2 linked regions of the Lonchura striata genome follow. The protein of the gene in region 1 interacts with the protein of each later gene in a biochemical or structural test. Links are inferred from orthologs where the notes say so. Each region holds a gene or a part of one and is shown on either strand. Other genes may lie near its edges.

Evidence for each region. The genes of interacting proteins can lie anywhere in the genome.
Region 2: the proteins of GLI3 (region 1) and ZIC3 form a complex in vitro, tested with the Homo sapiens proteins (2 studies listed by BioGRID). The link is inferred for Lonchura striata from reciprocal best matches to the Homo sapiens genes GLI3 and ZIC3.

What each region holds. Positions count from the first base shown.
Region 1 is NC_134603.1:104,408,052-104,418,399, reverse strand, and holds the start of GLI3 (transcriptional activator GLI3), read left to right. Parts: upstream 1-5,491; 5' UTR 5,492-5,598; intron 5,599-5,669; exon of another isoform or gene 5,670-5,803; 5' UTR 5,804-5,928; intron 5,929-6,461; exon of another isoform or gene 6,462-6,517; intron 6,518-7,187; exon of another isoform or gene 7,188-7,376; intron 7,377-10,348. UniProt on the Homo sapiens protein: Has a dual function as a transcriptional activator and a repressor of the sonic hedgehog (Shh) pathway, and plays a role in limb development.
Region 2 is NC_134616.1:339,895-349,498, forward strand, and holds ZIC3 (zinc finger protein ZIC 3), read left to right. Parts: upstream 1-4,848; coding exon 4,849-5,890; intron 5,891-6,541; coding exon 6,542-6,705; intron 6,706-7,649; coding exon 7,650-7,832; 3' UTR 7,833-8,704; downstream 8,705-9,604. UniProt on the Homo sapiens protein: Acts as a transcriptional activator. Required in the earliest stages in both axial midline development and left-right (LR) asymmetry specification. Binds to the minimal GLI-consensus sequence 5'-GGGTGGTC-3'.

The sequences.
Region 1 (10,348 bases):
ACTACAAGCCTTCCATGGTATCTGAGCATGCTTTAAAATGTTGGCTAGTAGATTTAAGATTTAGGGGAAAACCCAGCCATTTCCTAGGGGAGTGTGTGAATTCACCTCAGAATGTGTCTGTCCAATTCACTGCATCAACAACTGACAAAAAAAAAGACATTTTGATGGATCCTTTATATCTCTGTGATATTCTTCCCATCCCCCCATCCCAACTGACACAACTATAATAGGCAATGCTAACATAGGGTTGGATATGCTAGAAAAAACTGTCCTTTCTTCTGATAAAGGTGATTCCATTCAAGGAATTGGTTTAAATTCTACCAGAACAGTCTATATAAACTATATCTCCTGGATAATGGCTTCTGACTATACCCTACAAAATACTGCTAAATCCTTTCACTTGTAGCTCAATGGCTCAGTTGGGAGAGAAGCTGAGACAACTCCCTAGAGAGGTTGAAAGTATCCCAGATCATTTAAAGTGGATGTTAATGATGATCTAGCTAATTATAACAAACTAAATATCATCACCATTAGCAATTTCATTTCTTATTACAGCATAGCAAAAAGAGTATTTATGCCTAATCTGTGTGAAATGTTATGATTTTTGTGTCTTTATTGGATGTAGCCTGTTAAAGACACTCTGCTCTTCCTCCATATGCTACCTGCCTGTTAATTAACATGTACAGGGTGCTTTTAAAAGCAAACAAAGGAAACTCCCTTGCTTGTTTGTTTGGTGTGTTTATGGTCATATATCAAAATATCTCACGCAGAACAACACCATTTTAATTTCCTGTAAGAAGAAAATATTCTTCTGAAGAATGTTCATAGTAATGAAGAGTTTTAATGCAAACATACATCTAAAGTCAAGGAGGGTGAAAGTATTTTAATAAGTTAGTATTTAAGAGATGGAGAACTCAGACTTTCTATGTAGACAGTCCAAAAGTAAAGAATTTACTGCATAAAATTGTCCTTTTTGTCTGTGTGTAAAACTCATCTCTTAGTCTTAATTTTCCTTCAGTAATCACAACAGAATCTGAAAAATAAATATGTAATTTTACATATTTACAAGATAGAAGGGGATAAAAATAAACTGCATTTTAATTATATTATATTTTATTATATTATTCACTGTTTAATTTTATTATACAGTATTCAAAAAACTTAATCATGACTATATGTTATAAATAGCTAGGTTAGTTAGATTCACCATTCAGAGAAATAGGACGGTGTACAAAAAATGATCTGCTAGAGTAGAAAGATAAATCTGATCATTAGGGTTCAGTCCTTTTTCCACTGAAATCTAGCAATGTCCCCAGTGTTAGCAAAAGAAGGAGAAAGATATAGTGGTTCCTTGCTATGGACTACCAGAGGAATTATGTATATCAAGTCTGTGAAAGGCTGCAATGACCATCCTTAGAAAACTGAGACTCCTGAATGAAGGTTGCTATTTGACACATCTGGATATTTGCTGATAAATTTCCTTTTTTTTTTTCAATGGCAGTAATAAAAATCAAACATCCAAATAATGAAAGGATCCAAAGTTACTAATTTACACTAGTGTGTAGTGGCACATCAGTTTATAATTTCTTTCAGAACCAAACAATTAGTTGTTTCTCAGACCCCACATCATTTGCCTTTTCTAAATCAATTGCCTGACAGTAACTGCAGATAAGGTTTTTGCCTGACCTTTATATCCTTCCCAAATGTGGCTGCCTCCATGCACCAGTTCTTCATCCCACCTTGGGCCATGAATCTTTCCTTGTGCCCCCAGCTGCAGCTTGTGCAGACTTTGAGGATTCTGACATGATACCATCTTATACTCCTCTTTTCCTTCCACTAGGTAACTCTTGAGACACATCTGCTGTAAGAGGCAGCCATGCAACACAGGAGATATGTAGGTAGGGGCAAGATGCACTGGTCAAGCTCTCTTGTGATGGATATTGCATAAATGACCAGAAATCGGTGCCGTTGCTCCATATTCCACAGCTTTACCTGAGGTTGTCCCTGTGAAATCACAGCAGACCTATTTCATAGAATGTATTCTTGTAATTGCCTACTGTCAAGAAAGGGACTGTTTTAAAACCTTTGTCTTCTACTGGATGTCAACTGGATAAACAGCAACAGTTAAGGTCCTTGAATATGTCCTGTAGAGCATTTGCTGGGATTGGAGAGAAGGTGGAGGGTGGTGCACCTGGGAGTGGTGAGGAGACTGGTTCTTGGTGTCACTGAATATCAGGTCTTTTGCATACAGCTTATGAGCAGAGTCTCTGCTCCTTCTGACTGTGCTTTCCTGTAACAACAGGTGCAGCAAAAGGAGAAGACAAATGCACACCTTGGAGGACTGTAATTTTCAAGTCAGAGGCTGAGAAGAAGCGGGGAGACAAGGTAGGCTGAAGAAATGCAAAAGTATCATGCATGATATAACTCACAGCAGAAATGCCCTGTGGTTGTGGCATATTGAGTCAGAGAAATGAGTTTTGTAACAGGTCAACAGGTCTTCTGCAGGAGCCAATTCCTACTTGCAGGGAAACATCATAGACAAATCTCAGAGGTTAATTTCTCTTGGAGGCGCAATCCAGACGTGGAAAAATCATTATGTTTTATTAATGTGTAGTTTTTGTCTTCCCATTGCATCTTTCAAGTACGATTCCTCTGAATCAGACATGAAAGATGATAAGAAAGGCACCTCCCTGAACAGAGCTGCCCATTTTCATTTTGTTAAGCTGAAGGGTTGGATGTTCTAAGCTTCTTTTGCACTCTTCATTGTCAAGGTGTTGAAACATTTACAGTACGTTTCAAATGGCAAATGTCACCCACTCACCATCAGTTTTTATTTTCTGCTTGGCCTGAGCAGACAGAGGCACAAGCAGAAACTTCAGTTATTGTTTCTGTGTTTCCCTTCTCTCAAGACTTTCACTGCTCAAAAATGCATCAGAAAGCTATTTTTCATAAGCAAATGTTAAAGCATTCTATCACCTCTTTATATTTTTTGGTCTGTCTTAATGTGAATTGAGTGTAGAGAAATGCTTTGGGTTATTTATCTCAAATTAGAAATATGTGTCTTGAGAAGAGTTGGTGTGAATAATATTAAAAACAAACAAAAACCCCCAAAACTCAAAGAGCTGTTTCATGATGTAACAAGATGTCCAAACTCTGAGGAAATAGCTTATTTTTTTAAAAAGTCTAAGATGAATACTGACCTGAAGGCCCAGTCTCAAAATCATGCCCCAGTTTAAATGTCTTTTAAGCTTTTATTAAAAGCAGTATCTTAACATCAGCAATACTGAATTATAAATGGTGAGTCAAACAGGATTTTCCACATTAATTTGTTTCTTTTACAAAGTATCATTTTGGATGTTGGTTAATTTCCCCTGTTACTTTTAAGGGTTTTCATTATACAAAGAGAAAAAAAAAAGAGTTTAAGAAAATTGATTGCATAAAATAGAAAGGAATAAGCAAGAGGCAGAAAATGAGAGAAGAGTACAATGGGCCGAAGGAATTATATTGCTCTTAAACATATCTGTAAAGGGACCTGAGGTTTGCCTAATCACTCTGTGCACCAGCACTCCCCCAGCACATATATATGTATCAGGGGGTGGTGTGCATGTCACATAAAGTACATACATATGGTGGTGTATATAGCACATATAGCTAAAACAAAACATCCGCAGTACTACACCACTATTATCATATATCATGAAACAGCTAACATTTTCCTGGGAACATGAGACTGGAAAAGGAAGTCATATAAGATAAAAAAGTTGGAAGAATATCAGCTCTTCATATTGGCATTCAGATGCTGGTGTTGCACATGCCTCTTCCCTGTGTAGCACTATGCATGTCAGCAGTATTGCTTGGGCAGCCAGGGGCTGCTCCTTCGGAGCAGGGGCAGATTTGTCTCTTGGTGTGCTGTGAAATCACTGGCTTCGGAGGCATGGCACCAGAGCACAGGCTCTCATCTGGTCCCCGGTGCCCACCTCCAACAGTGCCCGGGCATGCGTGGCAGCTTGAACAATGTGCAACTCTCACTCAGTGTGACAGCATCTGACTACTGTGTCTATCCTGAAAGTCAGGCTGTGCTGACCTGGTGCTGTAAAATGTGCATATAAAAGGCATCCCTGGGACCGCCAGGGCAATTAGTCTGACCGTAGCAGGAACATCCATGTATTATAGGCATCTCGCTAAAGCTACTTCTTGCACCCAGAAAAGATTTACAGGTGAAAAACAACACCAAGCCAGTTAGCCTGAGGAAATTAGGGTTGAAGTGGCCCTTTGAGTTAGGTAAGATTGCTTTCTCTTTGTTTTTAAAAAACTAGTGGACCAAGTAATCTCAAACCACAAATACCTGCAGCTTTGTTTTGTAATAAAATCAACATTTTCAATGGTGAGACTAAGAGAAGCTTTATGAAATACACAGCATCAAATCAGTCTTTCATTTCCATCAGCAAACATAACATTTTGTCAAGAACCACTAATTTTTTGAGGACTTTCCAAATGTAGCCCAAGCTCGGGTACCTTGCTAAATTGCATGTATCAGTAACAAATCTTTACTTGGCTGTGTTGTGAGTCAGGTTATGAACAAAAGTGCATGTAAAGTATCTGATATTGTGACGGCAGCAATTTAAATATATTTATATATATATATACACATATACTTTTCCCGAGAGCCAGTCCCACCTTGTGACTTGATGGAAAATGGTTGTGGTAGTGTTAATTTACGGTTTCTCAGACTTTTTTAATATCAGGGAGCAATCTGCAAACTTTGGAAATGTAAGGTGTCTTGTCAGGACACATCATTTCCCGAAGGATGGAGATACTGGAACAAATGGCATCCTAGTTCTTGCTATTTCTGGACTGCAGCATGCTGTTGTGAGAAACCTGCTCGCAAGGAGCCCGGAGGAAGAACGGAGATGAGGGCCAAAGACGGAGGCAGCTGAGAGCCCTGTTTCGTAGGTTGAAGGCCAGAGGAGCCTGGCAGGGTGCTGAGGAGGCTGGCAGGTGGGCTGGGAAAGGAGGAGCCGGCGCAGGCATCACCGCCACTTTTCCCCTCGACAAAGCACTTGTATTTTTTCTCCAAAAGAGCTATCTGTCGGTGTCACATGGCTTAGGTGAAACTTTCCTTGAAGTCCTTCAGTCAAGTCAGCCTGCTGCGCCAGAGCGAACGTGAGCCCAAAAGGCGCAGCATACACAGAAAACCCACGCGAAGGGCACGTTTACCCCCAAAAAGCCCTGGATTTTTGGCGGGCGGGAAAAGGGGGTGTCCAAGGCATCGGTGCGCGGGAAATGGGGCTGCAGATGCAGGCTGAGCCGAAGGATGGAGCGGGAGAGGAGGGAGAGGGAGGAAGCGCGACCCGAGGCGGAGGGGCCGCTCCGGGGGGGACCCGCCGTCGCCCCGCGCTGCCTTCTGGCTGTGGGCGGGGTGTCGCCGCCCTTGGGCCGCCGCCGGGGCGGGCCGGGCCGGGCCGGGGGGATGGCGGGGGAGGAGGAGGAGGAGGAGGAAGGGGGGAGCGGGGGTGTCATGCCGAGAGCTCGCGTCGCAGCCCGGCAGGCCGCGGCCCGACCCGCACCCCGGGGCGCAGCCCTCCGCCGCTCCCCCAGGCAAGCGGCCCCGCTCCCCGCCGCGCCCGGGGCACCCGCGCCCCGGGCAGCAGCCAGCCGCGTCCCGAACGGGCGGAGGGAAGGGGGGAAGGAAAGCGGAGCCCTCTCCGCCGCTCAGAGGAAGGGGAGGGAATGGGGAAAGTTTAGCGGAGGGTGTTTGAATCGGGAGTTATCCCTAAAGAGCCTTTCCCCTGATCTGATCCAGAGGGCAGCGCTGGGAGGAGGGGGAGGCGACGACGAGCAGCCCTGCAACATCTGTAAAACTTGAAGGAGGCGGCGGAGAGGAGCGCGCGAGACGGAGGAAAGAGAGAGGGACAACTTTTCCGACACGTGAGTACCTCGGCGCGATGTGTTTGTTCCCCTCCTTCGGTGGCTGCGCCGAGCCAAAACAATGCGGGGCGGTGGCGGGGCTGGAGGGGACGGGCGGCACGGGACGGGACGGAGGGGTTCCCCCTTCCCCACCAAAACTGGTACCAGGCCGTAGATTTGGGGATACTTTTTTTTTTTTCTTTTGCTCCCTCTCTTCTTTTTCTTCTTTTTCTCCTCCCCTCTGCTCTTTTTGTTGAACCGAATCAGAAATGTCAGTCAGTGCGAGTGAGTCAGAAGGGATCAGATTACAAGATCACTGAAACTGATGTCGGACCCGCGCACACACACCCCCACACGGAGGCAGAGGCGCGGGCTGCTCCCCGCGGGAGGCGGGCAGGGATAAAACAACCAGCACCAACACCCGCCGGCCCTCCTCTGCCGCCCCCGTCCCGCCTGTGTCCCGTCCCGTCCCCCTGCCCCGCGGGATGCCCGCCGGCCGCGGCGGGGGCCGGCCCCGCTAGCCGCGGCGGCGGCGGAGCGGCGCGGGGACGAGCCGGCGGTCCCGGCCCTCGCCCATGGGCAGCGCGGGGGTCGGCGGCAGCGGCGGCAGGTACGTACCCACTTGGGCGAGAAGTTCTTTGTTCCCCGGCTCTACTCCGGGCCACTTTCTTGTCGTCTCCCAGCGCTCCGGCCCCGCTCCCGGCCCGCTTCCCGCTTCCCTAACTTGGAGGCGGGGGTCGGGGGGGACCGAGGTGTCTAACCCCCAAAATGGCTGTCACGGAGCGCGGGAGCCGAGGGCGCGGGGTGCGGGGCGAGGCGAGGGCAGTCCCCGCTCCGAGCCGGGCTCGGCCGGGCACGTCCCGCGGCAGAGCTGCCGATGTGCGGGCGACAGCTGCTGTTTTATTTCCACCCCCTTCTTTCTCCTCGCCCCTACTCCCTGAGCGACTCCAGGGGGTTTTCACGCCCGTGCGGCGGGAGGCCGGCACAAACTTCGCAGGGGGAAAGGCGAGAGGAGCGGGGGCGAATCCGCTGTCACATCTGGCGGGGCGGAGGGGCGCCCGGGGGTCGTCGTTCCCTGCCGGCTGCTCCCTGCGAGGAAGGGGACGGTCGGGTCCCGGAGGGGGGCGCGGGGGTGCCGGCGGCTCCGTGAGCAGCGCGCTCGGCCGCTCCGCGCCGCCCTGGCGCGGGTCCGGCGGGAGCGGGGCGGCGGGACGGGCCCGGCCGAGGCCGGGCGGGAGGAGCGGCGCGGCCGCCCCGCGGGAGCGCCCCGGAGCCGCCCCGGGCCGGCACCGCGGCCCGGCCGTGCACCGCCCAACTTTGCAGGATGGGAGCGCGGCGCGCCCGCCGCGGTTCCGATTGTCCCGTGAAGTCGGTGGGTGTTGGCACAATCCCCGCGCCTTCGGACGGGCCCGCCGGCTCGCAGCTGCTAGCGCCCGCTCCCCAACCCGCGCACCACGTGAAGAGAAAAGGTAAAAGGAAACACACGCCCCTCGCTCCCCATCTCACTCCCCAGTTTTGTTTTTAACCCTCTGGTGCGTAGTTTTTATCCGGTCCTGCGGGTACGGTGTCCGTGGCCTTCTGCCAGTTTGTATGTAGATACATTTATGTAAAACATTTTCTCCCAGCTCCTTGCCAGCTGTTCCACATTTTCCAGCTGCCACTTCAGTTTGAAATGATGGACTGTACTCATCTCAAAGAGCCTTTTAGTCAGAGGTACGGATAGCTGTCTGTTTGATACACAGTGTCACGTTTTGGAGGCTACTTCACTAAAAGAACATTAAGTAGCAACCCACGGCAAAATGCTCCTCTTCGTCGCACCCTTGCTACTTCCCGCTTCATTTGCAAGCCTCAATAAACATGATTTTTTAAGCTTCAGCGTGCAGACTTCGTTTCTTTTGTGTGCGTGCTACAGAAAAACTTGGAAGCAAAATTTTCCAGAGGCCTTGAGACATGTGGCTGATTAAACCAAGAAACATTTTTAGGAGGGCACGGCTGCCTCTCTGTCTCTCTGTGCTGTAGGTATCTGTTTTGAAATCGTTTAAGTCACTGGAATAGTGAGAAATCACTATGTTTCTCTGTGTTCCAAAATTGGTTTTGTTGTGGTGTTTAAAGAGATTATGGATTGAAATGTTCCAGAACTGGCCTTAAGTAGTTTGAATATTTGTGCAATTGCATTGTAATTTGGAGAGGTGCCTCACTGATTGATTCCTATAATTATTTCATTTAGGTCCTTTATTAAAAATTGATAATGATCTGACAGTTTCTTAATTATATATGTCATGATTATTTTGAAGGAAGACGAATGCAGTGTTTTAAAAGTAAAGTAATCCAAAAATGTAAAAACTGCCATCTTCACTGTATTTCAGTCGTGGAAATATATATTAAAAGTAATGGTGAATGAGTTTAGCAATGTAAACTGTAGGCAGCCTCTTGAGAGTTTGTTTATATAAGGAAGGTTTGGGTATAACCAGCTAGTATGTAAATACTTTCAGTTTTGTGTATAGCCCAATTCTAAAAGCATAAATAATAGTAACTATGAGAGGAGGCTATTTTAAGGACAGGGAATTATTTCTTTAAAAGCAGGATTATGTGATTTTGAATGAGTAGGAAGAATGAGTAAGAAAAGGACTCTCTCAGTGTATGTGTATTCTTTTAAGTAGCAGTGGAAGCAAAACTGTGGCTTAAGGTGCCCAAATGAATGCAACCTTGCATTCTGGTAATAGCATATGGTTTTCAGCAGGACATGCTGTTTTCCATAGCTTTTCTGTAGACTACTGCAAAACAAAGACATCACCTGCATTTTCCTGCATAAACAGAGAAACATTTTTGGCTTGAGAAGGTGTGCAGTGGCCAAGAAAGAGTTATTACTGCTATACGTAATCATCAGTTGTAAAAGATTGTTCGTTTTCAAACACAAAAACAGTGTGTAACTAAGAAATTAAAGTATCAATGACTATAAATGATTTTTTTTTTTTTTCTGAATAGTGTTGGAAAAACCAAAATACTCAAGTTTGGAGACATCATTATAATTTGTTCATCTTGCAGATTACTCGAATTTTTAACAAGATTAATGTATGCACTGATAGTGACCCATGAAAGTTTCGGTTACACTTCCTGCCTCGTTTTGGGGAAAGCTATTCAATTACCTGTACTCCTGTAGTGTATTTGAATTCTAGTCTGCATATTAGAGGAAGGAATGGCATATTTTTATGTTGCAGAGTGTTAGTAAAAAGTTAGTCATCTCTGCCTGATAAATAAGGAATTTGAGAGCTATTAAAGCAGGGTTTATTTGAAGTTATGGAAGGAGGCATTTTAATGATCAGTGTTGCATGTGTTCAACTATATGGACACAGAAATGTACAAAGAAAAAGCAAAGTTGAAGGAAAAGTGAATCAACGAGTCATGAAATCCTCAGGAAAACCTTACTAGTGGAATGTTAATGCTTTTAGACTATAGATAGATTACCTTAAAAGTCAGGCTTTTCTTCTTTATGCAATTGTTGTAAATCCCTAGCAAAAGAATACTTTGAAGAAAGCTTTAATTTTTCTGGCACTCATATTCTGTAGTAATTCTGGTTGTTTTGGAAGATTCAAGATATTTTCTGCCAACTTGCAGTTAGGCAATTAAAATGCTAAAATGGCTACAGAGGAAGCTTTTATTTAACAAAAGGTTCAGCTGTAATAATGATTTCAAGTTGTCTTTTAACCACAGGTTTTATAGACATCCTCCCTTTAGACTCTGTCATTTTTATAAGGGAATTGATTTGTTATACTTTAAAATCAAATAAAATGAGACAGAATAAACAAAAATAGGGCATGGGTGCTGCTGCAAACTTTTCAAGTTCTTTCAGTGCATTTTTCATCTTTACTTTTATTTGATAGGTCTGTGAAATAGAGCTGTAGACTGGCAGACTTTAAATGAAATTTCACACTTTGATGATTTTTTTTAAACTTTGATATATTGACAGCAAAAGGAGCTGCAAAGCTTTTATATAACTTGAGCAGTAACGCCAAGCAGCAGTCAAACGTCTCTATGCATTTGTGTTTAACTGCAGAAGAAAAACATGTCCATGGGCAGTAGAGGGTTCTTATCAACTCCCTAATCCCAGATCCCAGCAAACCTTGAGGGCATGCCTCAGATCTTGCTGAAATCATTGTAGACTCTCACAGTTTGCAGATTAAATATGCTATGTGTTCCTGGCTCCAACAACAGTTTTATGAGCTCACTAAGCTTCCTGTTTTAAGATCCTTTTCTGAACTTTTTAGGAGCTGCTAAGGGCAATGCTGTCTATGGCAAGTGGTACTTGTTAATTTAGGGACACTTTAGGTATTTCATTCTGTCTGTAAAAAGAGCCAAAATTGCTATTTTCAAATTAGAAGTCGAGTTGCACTGAAAAAAAGGAGTTCCTTTAAAGAGGGATTCTGTTGTTTTAATGTGTTTG
Region 2 (9,604 bases), on another chromosome or scaffold:
GTGATCTTCATTTTAGGGGGGAAACTTCTCCCCATCACCACAAAACGAGCAACAAGCCCTGGTGCCCGGGCGAGGTTGCCAGCGTCGGTGTCGGCCCGGCTCCACGGGGTGCAGGGGAGCCCGCTGGCACCTACGTTTCCTCGCCACTCCAGTCTTTCTGCCTGCCTCCGTCTGGCCTTTGATATTCCTCGCCCCCTCCCGTTGCCGAAGTTCAGACCTGTTTACTCCAGCCCAGATCTCTGAAGTTCAAATGTACATGTGCTTCCCCCTCCGCTGAGTGACAGCTACAATGGAAATGTCTCGTTCGCTCCTGGTTTGCATATAATTACACCGGAGATGCAATATGTTTATGGCAGGAGAAAAACTACTTGTCTTTACGCTTGTTAAGGATATTCATTTAGCCGCGATACAGCGCGGTTTAAAAGCTCTTTAGGGTGGATGGAATATTCCCCTCGCCGCCGTCTCTCAGCTCAGCGCGAGGGGACTTTTGTTGCTGTTATCCCGGGTTTGTTCTGCTTTTTCCTCGCATCCTCGGTGTAAGGCACAAGGGAAATCCACGGAGCCTCCGATCTGGAGCTCCTGGGGCCGTTGCTGAAACTTCACCTGCCCCTGGCCCGCTGCGGAATGTGCCATAAAGCGTGGGCACCCGCTGGGGACCGCGTTTTCCTCCTGCGCTGGAGGCCCGAGACCTCGCGGTCTCCTCCTGGCGAGGCTCTCCGGACCGCGCCGGGGTGCTGGGACGGGGCCGCGTTCATCCCCGGGATCCCCGGGAAGCCCGGCAGGGAGGTCCCGGCGGGCTCTGGGCACGGAGGGACCCCCAACGCTTCCCAGGGCATTTGAAATTTTTGCAGCTCTTAAGTTCCAAAAACACTTAAAAGGAAAACAAAAAACAAACAAAACAATACAAAACAAATCTAAAAACCAACCAACCAACCAACCAACCAAACAAACAAACAAACTAAAAAAAAAAAAAAAAACAAAAACCCCAAAAAAACCCAAAAAGGTGGGAGAACTGCACAATATTTGTTCTTGACGTAAAGCACGGGGTCTTTCTTTGCCTTCCCCACACGTTGGGAGCACGGAGGGAAAAGGGAGCCTGGAGACTACTTTTACGGTTGTTGTTGTTTGCATGTTTGCAATTGAGATAGATTTTAAATGGAAGAGATGAGAGGTACCCCGACTTCTGGAAAATGAATTGAGTTTGGCCAGAAATACCACTGAATAAAAATGGAAATTACTGAATTTATAAAATAAAGTATAAAATACATATTTTTATATACATACATACATACACACACACACACACACACACACACACACGCACGCACACACACACACGCACACACACACATATATATATATATACACACATATTCCGAAAGCTCAGCAAGGGAAAAACGATCATAGGCTACACAGACAATGCCTTTAAAAAAAAAAAAACAAACAAACAAACAAAAAAACCCCACCTCGTTTTATACAATTTTTGCTCCCCGAGCTGGCAAATTCCAGTCAGGATGCGACGGAGTGCAAATAGTGACAGAACACCAGTGCGGATGCTGCCGGGTGCACACACCCAGGCAAAGTTGGCAGAGTAGAAGTGGGAAACGTATAAAAAGATTTATAGGTTAATTGATGTAGCCCAATCCGCCATACACAGCTGCTAGGCAGGCTGTGGCCAGCAAGCCGTCCCGAAACGGATATTCCTCGTCCAAAATTACGATTATTTCGTTTTTCTCCCCAATCCCAGCCCCTCGGGATATTTTTCTCGAAGCACCGCCGTCGCGCCATTGCCGATGAGATTTTTTTTTTAGGCGGAAAACAACTTAAATTTATTTTTTTTAAATCTTCTGCCTCTGTGGAGCCACAGTCGCTCTTTCTCGCCACGCCGGAGGGTTTCCCAGCCCACACCCGCGCCTCCCTTCCCACGCCCGCCGGTCGGGGCAGCCGCAGCCCCGCGTGGTGTGAGCACCTGGGCGGGCAGCGCCGCTCCGCCACCGCCACCGGCCCGGCCCGGCCCGGCGCGGCGCGTCCCACCCACGGGGGACACAATGCCGCACGTGAGGCCTCTGCACAAACAGGGGTCAGTCGCCCTCGGTCGCTCCAGGTCGGCGACTTCAGAGGCTCTGCCCTCCCCGACGCTCAGCTGACGGGAATAATTGAAGTTCCAACCCCTTCCCCACGGCCTTTTTTTTTTTTTTCCCCTTTTTTTCTTTCTTTCCTTTTTTTTTTTTTTTTTTTTTAATTTTTATTGTGGGTTGGTTGTTGTCGAGAAAGAAAACCCTACACGTGCGGGAGGTAAATATAATTAATGACCCCGGCGCAGCCCTCCGGAGACAGGCAGGTAGAGCCTCAGCGGAGCAGCAAGGCGGCTGCGGGCCTCGCCGCGTCGCCGCCGGGGGCCGATGTGACCGGCTACCCCTGGCCCTGTCCCGGCTTCCCGGCGCCCGGGCTCCCGGCCGAGCCGCGGCGAGGGCTGCGATCCCGCCGGCTCCCCCGCCGCCCGCGAGCAGCCGCGGCTGGAGCGGGGAGAGCAAGAACGCGGCCCCGACCGCCCCGGTGGGTGCCCCGGTGGGTGCCACGGTGGGTGCCCCGGTGGGTGCCACGGTGGGTGCCCCGGTGGGTGCCACGGTGGGTGCCACGGTGGGTCCCCGCGCTCCCTCCTTCTGCTCTGTTGCCATCGTGCACTAACGGCAGCGGCGGACTCACCTTCCAACTTTGGGACTGTTCTTGGCGGCTGTGGCCTGGGAAATTTGAGTGTTTGACGGGCACTGGTGTTATCTCTCGGGGAGATTTTATATCGGTGGCTTTTTTTTTGTCCCCTTTCTTTCTTCTTCTTTTTTTTTTTTTTTCCTCTCTTACTTTTATTTTTTTTTTTTAATTTTTCTTTTACTCGCCCCCTGCAATCCTTAAAATAAAGAAGACGAAGCCTTTCCCGGGGCTGATTGGGGGGAAGAATGTGAAAGGGCCGCGGTAATAAAGCGCTGCTTGAAGCGGGCTCTCAATGCGTCTCTGAACTTGATCAGATTTTACGTTTCCTGCAGAGAGCCGGCGGCGAGCCTGAGACCTGCCCAATAGCCAGACTTGGGGGCTCAGCAAACCTCAGGATATTACAATTACAGCCATCTTTCTTTCTGCCTTTTATTTTCACTCTTGCTCCCTATAGTTCTTTGCAAATGCTTTCCAGAACAGAAAATGAGTGGATTTATAGCGCTGTCTGCAACTGATAATTATTCCAAGGCAGAACATTTCCCTTGCAAAATAAAATATTAAAAAATAAAATAATAAAAACAAAGAAAGAAAGGGGATAAAAAGAGAGAACGGAAGAAGGAAAAAATGAGAAAGTGAGAAAGGAAGAAGGAAAAAATGAGAGAGAAAGAGAGAAAGAAAGAGAAAGAATGAACGAGAGCAGGAAGAAAGCGGCTCGGAGCCGCCGTGGCGGGCGCTGCTCGGCCGCCCCCCGCGGGTCGGCAGGGGGTGGGGGACGGGGCAGGGGAAAGGGGCTGGGCTCGGCCGGCGGGGTGACCCCGGCCCGGGCACGCTGCGCACCGAGGCGGAGAGGCAGGAGCGAGCGGCTCTGCTCTCGGGTTTACTCAGTAAGGGTAAAAATGAATAGAAAACTGAAACAGATATATAAAGTATATATGATTATATATAAATGTATGCATACAGAAATAAACTGTAAACAGCCTCGGCTTTAGCTTTCCTTTTTTTTTTTTTTTTTAATTAAATTTTATTTTTGAACCAACGCGGCGGCTTTGCAGAGGCTTTACGCCGCCCCGCCGCGCCGCCCAGGGCGAGCATCCCGCGCGGCGTGGGGCGGCGCTGGCAGGGCACGGGCAGCGAGACGCGGTGGGACCGGACCGGGACACGGCGGGACTGGGACACGGCGGGACACGGCGGAACACACGGGTCCGGGCCGGGAGACGGCGGGACCGGACCGGGACACGGCGGGACAGGGACACGGCGGGACCGGGACACGGCGGGACACACGGGTCCCGGGACATGGCGGGACACGGCGGGCCGGGCCGAGACACGGCGGCAGACGGCGGAACACGGCGGCAGACGGCGGAACACGGCGGCAGACAGCGGGCTACGGCGGGCCGGGCCGGGACACGGCGGGACACGGTGGCAGACAGCGGGCCACGGCGGGCCGGGCCGGGCCACGGCGGGCCACGGCGGGCCGGGCCGGGCCACGGCGGCACAGGGCGGGCCGAGCCGCGCCGAGCCGCGCCGGGCCGGGCGCGGGCTCCGCGGCGCTCCCGCCGCCCGGGCCCCCCCGGCCACCCCCGCTCTACCTGCGGGGCGCGCGCGCCCAATCAGCGGCCGCGGCGGCGCGGGGCGCGTGCCAATCAAGCGCGGTGCCGCCAATGGGGCGGCGGGCGGCGGGTCAGGTGACGGGCGGCGCGCGGCCCCCATTGGCGCGGCGCGGCGCGGCCCGGGCTCGGTTTATGTGCGAGGCGCGCTCGGGCGCCCGGCAGTGCCCCGACGGCGCCGAGCGGGAGCGCGGCCGCCCCGCGCCTCCTGCCCTGCTGCGCCGCCCGGCCCGACCGGCGCGGCGCGGGGGGCGGGTGGCTGCTTTGGCTTTTGGGGTTTTGGTTTTGGGGTTTTTATCTTCTTCTTTTTTTTTTTTTTTTTTTTTTTTTGGTTGTTTTTTGGTTTGGTTTTGTTTTGCTTTTGTGTCGGTCGTGGGGTGCTCGCCTCGCTGCCCGCCCGCGGCCGGGGCCGCGCCTGCCCGCAGCGGGGGGCGGAGTGGGGGTGCGTTTTGGGGTGGTTTTGTACTTTTTTGGGGGCGGGCGGAAGGAGGAGGGGGGGCGGGCAGGCTGCCGCCGCGCCGACGGCCCCGCGCCCATGACGATGCTGCTGGACGGAGGGCCGCAGTTCCCGGCGCTGGGGGTGGGCGGCTTCGCAGCGCCCCGCCACCACGAGATGCCGGGCCGCGACGCCGCCGGCGGCGGCATGGGGCTGGGCCCCTTCGGGGACTCTTCGCACGCCGCCGCCTTCAAGCTGAACGCGGCCCCGCACGACCTCGCCGCCGGGCAGAGCTCGGCGTTCACGCCGCAGGCGCCGGGCTACGCCAGCGCCCTGGGCCACCACCACCATCACCACCACCACGCCGGCCAGGTGCCCTCCTACGGCGGGGCCGCCGCCTTCAACTCCACCCGCGACTTTCTGTTCCGCAACCGCGGCTCCGGCATCGCGGACGCCGCCTCCGGCACGGCGCAGCACGGGCTCTTCGGCGGCTCTCCCGGCGGCTTGCACGGCCCCGGCGGCATCCCGGACACCCCGGGCTACCTGCTCTTCCCGGGGCTGCACGAGCAGAGCCCGAGCCACACGTCCCCCAACGGGCACGTGGACAACGGGCAGATGCACCTGGGGCTGCGCGGGGACCTCTTCGGGCGGCCGGATCCCTACCGGGCCGTCTCCAGCCCCCGCACGGACCCTTACGCCGGCGCCCAGTTCCACAACTACAACCACATGAATATGAATATGGGCATGAACGTGGCGGCCCACCACCACCACCACCACCACCACGGCCCCGGCGCTTTCTTTCGGTACATGCGCCAGCCCATCAAGCAAGAATTGTCCTGCAAGTGGCTCGACGAGAGCCAGCTCAGCCGGCCCAAGAAGAGCTGCGACAGGACTTTCAGCACCATGCACGAGCTGGTGACCCACGTCACTATGGAGCACGTCGGGGGGCCGGAGCAGAACAACCACATCTGCTACTGGGACGAGTGTCCGCGGGAAGGCAAGTCCTTCAAGGCGAAATACAAACTGGTGAATCACATTCGGGTGCACACGGGGGAAAAGCCCTTCCCGTGTCCCTTCCCGGGCTGCGGCAAGATCTTTGCCCGCTCCGAGAACCTCAAGATTCACAAGCGGACGCACACAGGTAAGGCCCGTGTCCGTGTGTTCCCCCGCCCGGGACGGGGGGCTCCGGGGCTGCGGGACGGGCCGGGCCGGTGGCGGCCGGCGTGTGAGCTGCGCGGCGCTGCCTCCGCTCTCGGCCTCCGGAGCGGAGGGAACCATAGAAATGCAAATGAAACCTCGTTTTCGGTGACTTCCGCTCCTTTTTTATTCTTATTTTTAGGCCTGATTGGCGTCTCTTCTAATTAAATCGGCGATACTTTTGTCAAAGTATTTTTATTTGCAGCCCCGACTTTCCTTCAGCCCTCCTGCATGGGTGGAGGGAAGAGAGGGGGAAGGCTGGAAGCAAACGTACTTTGGCTTGTATCCTCGAGTAGGTCTTGTAAAGCTGTCCGAGCCGCTGAATTTATCTCAGGTCTTCTCCTTTCCCAAGCTCGCCCAGCTGCCTTCCCTGCTGGAGCCCAGCGTGGGCCTGGCGGGAGGTGAGTTAAAAGTCATAAAGCCTGACCCAAATTTATCCGACACGTAACAAATCTTGCTGTCCATCTTCCCCTTCATTTGTTGTGGTGCTTGTGCATCCCTAAGGTGGGGCGAGCAGGGCAGATGCTGTCCTTGGAGGAGGCGGGTGAGGATGGAGAGAGGAACGGCCCTCCTTCACCCTCTCTAAATTTCACAGGTGAGAAGCCTTTCAAGTGCGAGTTTGAGGGCTGCGACAGGCGCTTCGCCAACAGCAGTGACAGGAAGAAACACATGCACGTCCACACCTCCGACAAGCCCTACATCTGCAAGGTGTGCGACAAATCCTACACCCACCCCAGCTCACTTAGGAAACACATGAAGGTAAATCACGCCGGTGCTCCAGCCCTTTCCTCCCTGAGCAGTGATGCTCAGTCGCTGGTGTGCTCAGGGCTCATTCCCCCGGAGCAGAGCTGAGCTCCTTGTTCCGAGCACGGCCCGAGCCGTCCCCGCTGTCTAGGCTGTGGCTGGAGCACAGCCCGGGGAAATGGCGCAGTTTCTTTTCCGCTGGTGCAGGCGCTGCCCGGTTTGTGGAGCGGGGCTCGGTGCGGGCAGGCTGTGCAAGTGCAGCCCGGCCTGTGGCTGCAGCCCCTCGTGCTGGGATGCCGCAGCCCCCCGGCCAGGCCGCTGCAGCAGTGTCCGGGGGCCGCGGCAGGCGTCTGTTGCCGATGCTCAGTGGCCGGCCGGGCGTGAGCTGCCCTCCGGCCGAGCGTGAGCTGCCCACTGCCGGGCATGAGCTGCCCGCCGGCCGGGCGTGAGCTGCCCACTGCCGGGCATGAGCTGCCCGCCGGCCGGGCGTGAGCTGCCTGCCGGCCGGGCGTGAGCTGCCCACTGGCCAGGTGTGAGCTGCCCACTGCCGGGCATGAGCTGCCCGCCAGCTGGGTGTGAGCTGCCTGCCGGCCGGGCGTGAGCTGCCCACTGCCGGGCATGAGCTGCCCACTGCCGGGCATGAGCTGCCCGTCGGCCGGGCGTGAGCTGCCCACTGCCGGGCGTGAGCTGCCCGCCGGCCGGGCGTGAGCTGCCCACCGGCCGGGAGTGAGCTGCCCGCTGCCCCAGGAGTGAGCTGCCCACTGCCAGGCATGAGCTGCCCACTGCCGGGCGTGAGCTGCCCGCCGGCCGGGAGTGAGCTGCCCGCTGCCCCAGGAGTGAGCTGCCCACTGCCAGGCAGGGCCCGGCCACTGCTCCACGTGTCCCTCCGGCATGGAGGAGCAGGCCCGCGGGGTGCTGGAGGACCCGAGCTCGCTCCCATCTCTGCCTCTTGGTTTTAGGTGCACGAATCCCAAGGGTCGGACTCTTCCCCTGCAGCCAGTTCGGGGTACGAGTCCTCCACCCCGCCTGCGGTGGGCTCCGCCGGCAGTAAGGACTCCACTAAAACGCCGCCGGCCGCCCTGCAGAGTAACCCCGGCCATAACCCTGGACTGCCCCCCAATTTTAATGAGTGGTATGTGTGAAGGCAGCTGCTGCCCGGCCACAGACTGGACCAAATGCATAGGGAACGAGGCAAAAAAAAGGACAAACCAAGCCAACTGCAGCTCGCTCCCACGGAAATAGAGTTTCCACACCGATGGCCGCATAGTGCTACACCTACTTGACTGCCAGGATGTGGAGGGGGGTCTTTTATTATTATATTATAATTATTACTATTTCTTTGCAAGCCCAGACGCTGGACTAGCCATGTCCTTTTCTCAGGATTAGATTTTTTTTTTTTTGTAATTTTTTTCAGTCTCAGTCATTTCTTTGGTTTTCACTCCCCCCCCTTGCCTGAGTCTCTCTTCCTCCAATTCCCAACTTATTTTATTTTTCTTAATTTGTTTTTTTTTTTTTTTTTCTCTTTCTTTCGGTGGGATGTTGACATGAGGATGAAAATTCTCCTTCGCCTTAGTGGTGATTGTTTAAACTTACAGTCTTAAACCGTGCCAAAGTCCTGTTATGTCTTGAACTTTCCTTTCTAGCTCTCTTGCTGCTTCTTTCTCTGCTCTTCTCTTTCTCCTTCTCTCTCCAAGCATTACACATGTGAATGTATTCTCGTCTGATGGGGTCGGTCAGTATTTTTCAGGATGAGGATGTGGTGTTTATTCTGCCCAGATTGTGACGTTTAGTATAACAGTTGCCTTTTTGTAATAACTTTTTTTGTAAATACATACCCATGATGCCATATTTATCGTTCGTAATTTAATTATTGATACAAAGTGCCGGGAACTGAACAATATTTATGGGGGAGAAAAAATTGTTTTCTAACAAAAAAATACAAACAAAAAAAATCCAACTCTGTACAGCTTTTGGTTATAACTGCCTTAGCATTAAAAGTTTATTGTTTTGGAAAGAGCCGTTTTTGACTTCCTCCGGGGCATGGGGAGTCGCGGGTACCGTCGCGGGCCCGGATGGCGCTGCCAGCGGGGCCGGGCCGTTGTTTTGGAGCCGGTGATGCCGGGGGAAGCGCCCTGCTCGCCGCCGCTCTCTGCTGCCCCTTTGTCCCAGCCCTGCACGCCCGGCGGCTTCCCGAGCGGGCCGAAGTCGGGGCACGGCGCCGGCGAGCTGGAGCAGCCACGGGGGCAGCGGGGCGGTCCCGACGGTGAGTGCCCGGTGAGTGCCCGGTGAGTACCCGGTGAGTACCCGGTGAGTACCGGGCAGCGCGGGCTGTAGGGCTGCGCACCCGTGCCGGACCGGCCCGCCGACAGCGGGCTGCTTGCCGCGGGGTCCCGGGGCGACCTCGCGGCGGGCAGGATTGTCTCCGTTATCGTCTGGTTTGTTTTGTTCTGTTTTTATTTCTGACTAGGATGCGGAAAAACCTTCCCGTCTTCAGGAGAGAAGAGGCATCGAGATCGAACATGTCCCCCGAGAAACTTCGCGGCGTCGCACAGGAGCCCCAAGCAACCAGAGCGACGGTGAAACGGCTCCTCCCGGCTCATGGCGGGGCTCCGGTTGGCCGGAGGGCGGCGGCTGGCCGGCGGGCCGGCCGGGCAGCGGCGGGAGCGCCGACGGCCGGTGCCCGGCGGGGCGCGGCCAGCCCGGCCGCTCGGCTCCGCAGCCTCCTCCGGCAGTGCGGGCTGAGCCCAGGCGAGGCAGGGACCGCACTGCGGCCCCGCTCCTTTGCTGACCGGCGGAGACCGCAGACCAGCCCGTCTTGAACTTGACTGGGGCACAGCGGAAGGACGAGGGGTGGTCCATCCCCTCCTATTGCGGCACGGGCTGCTCGGGCGAGCAACCCGCTCAACCTTGCGTG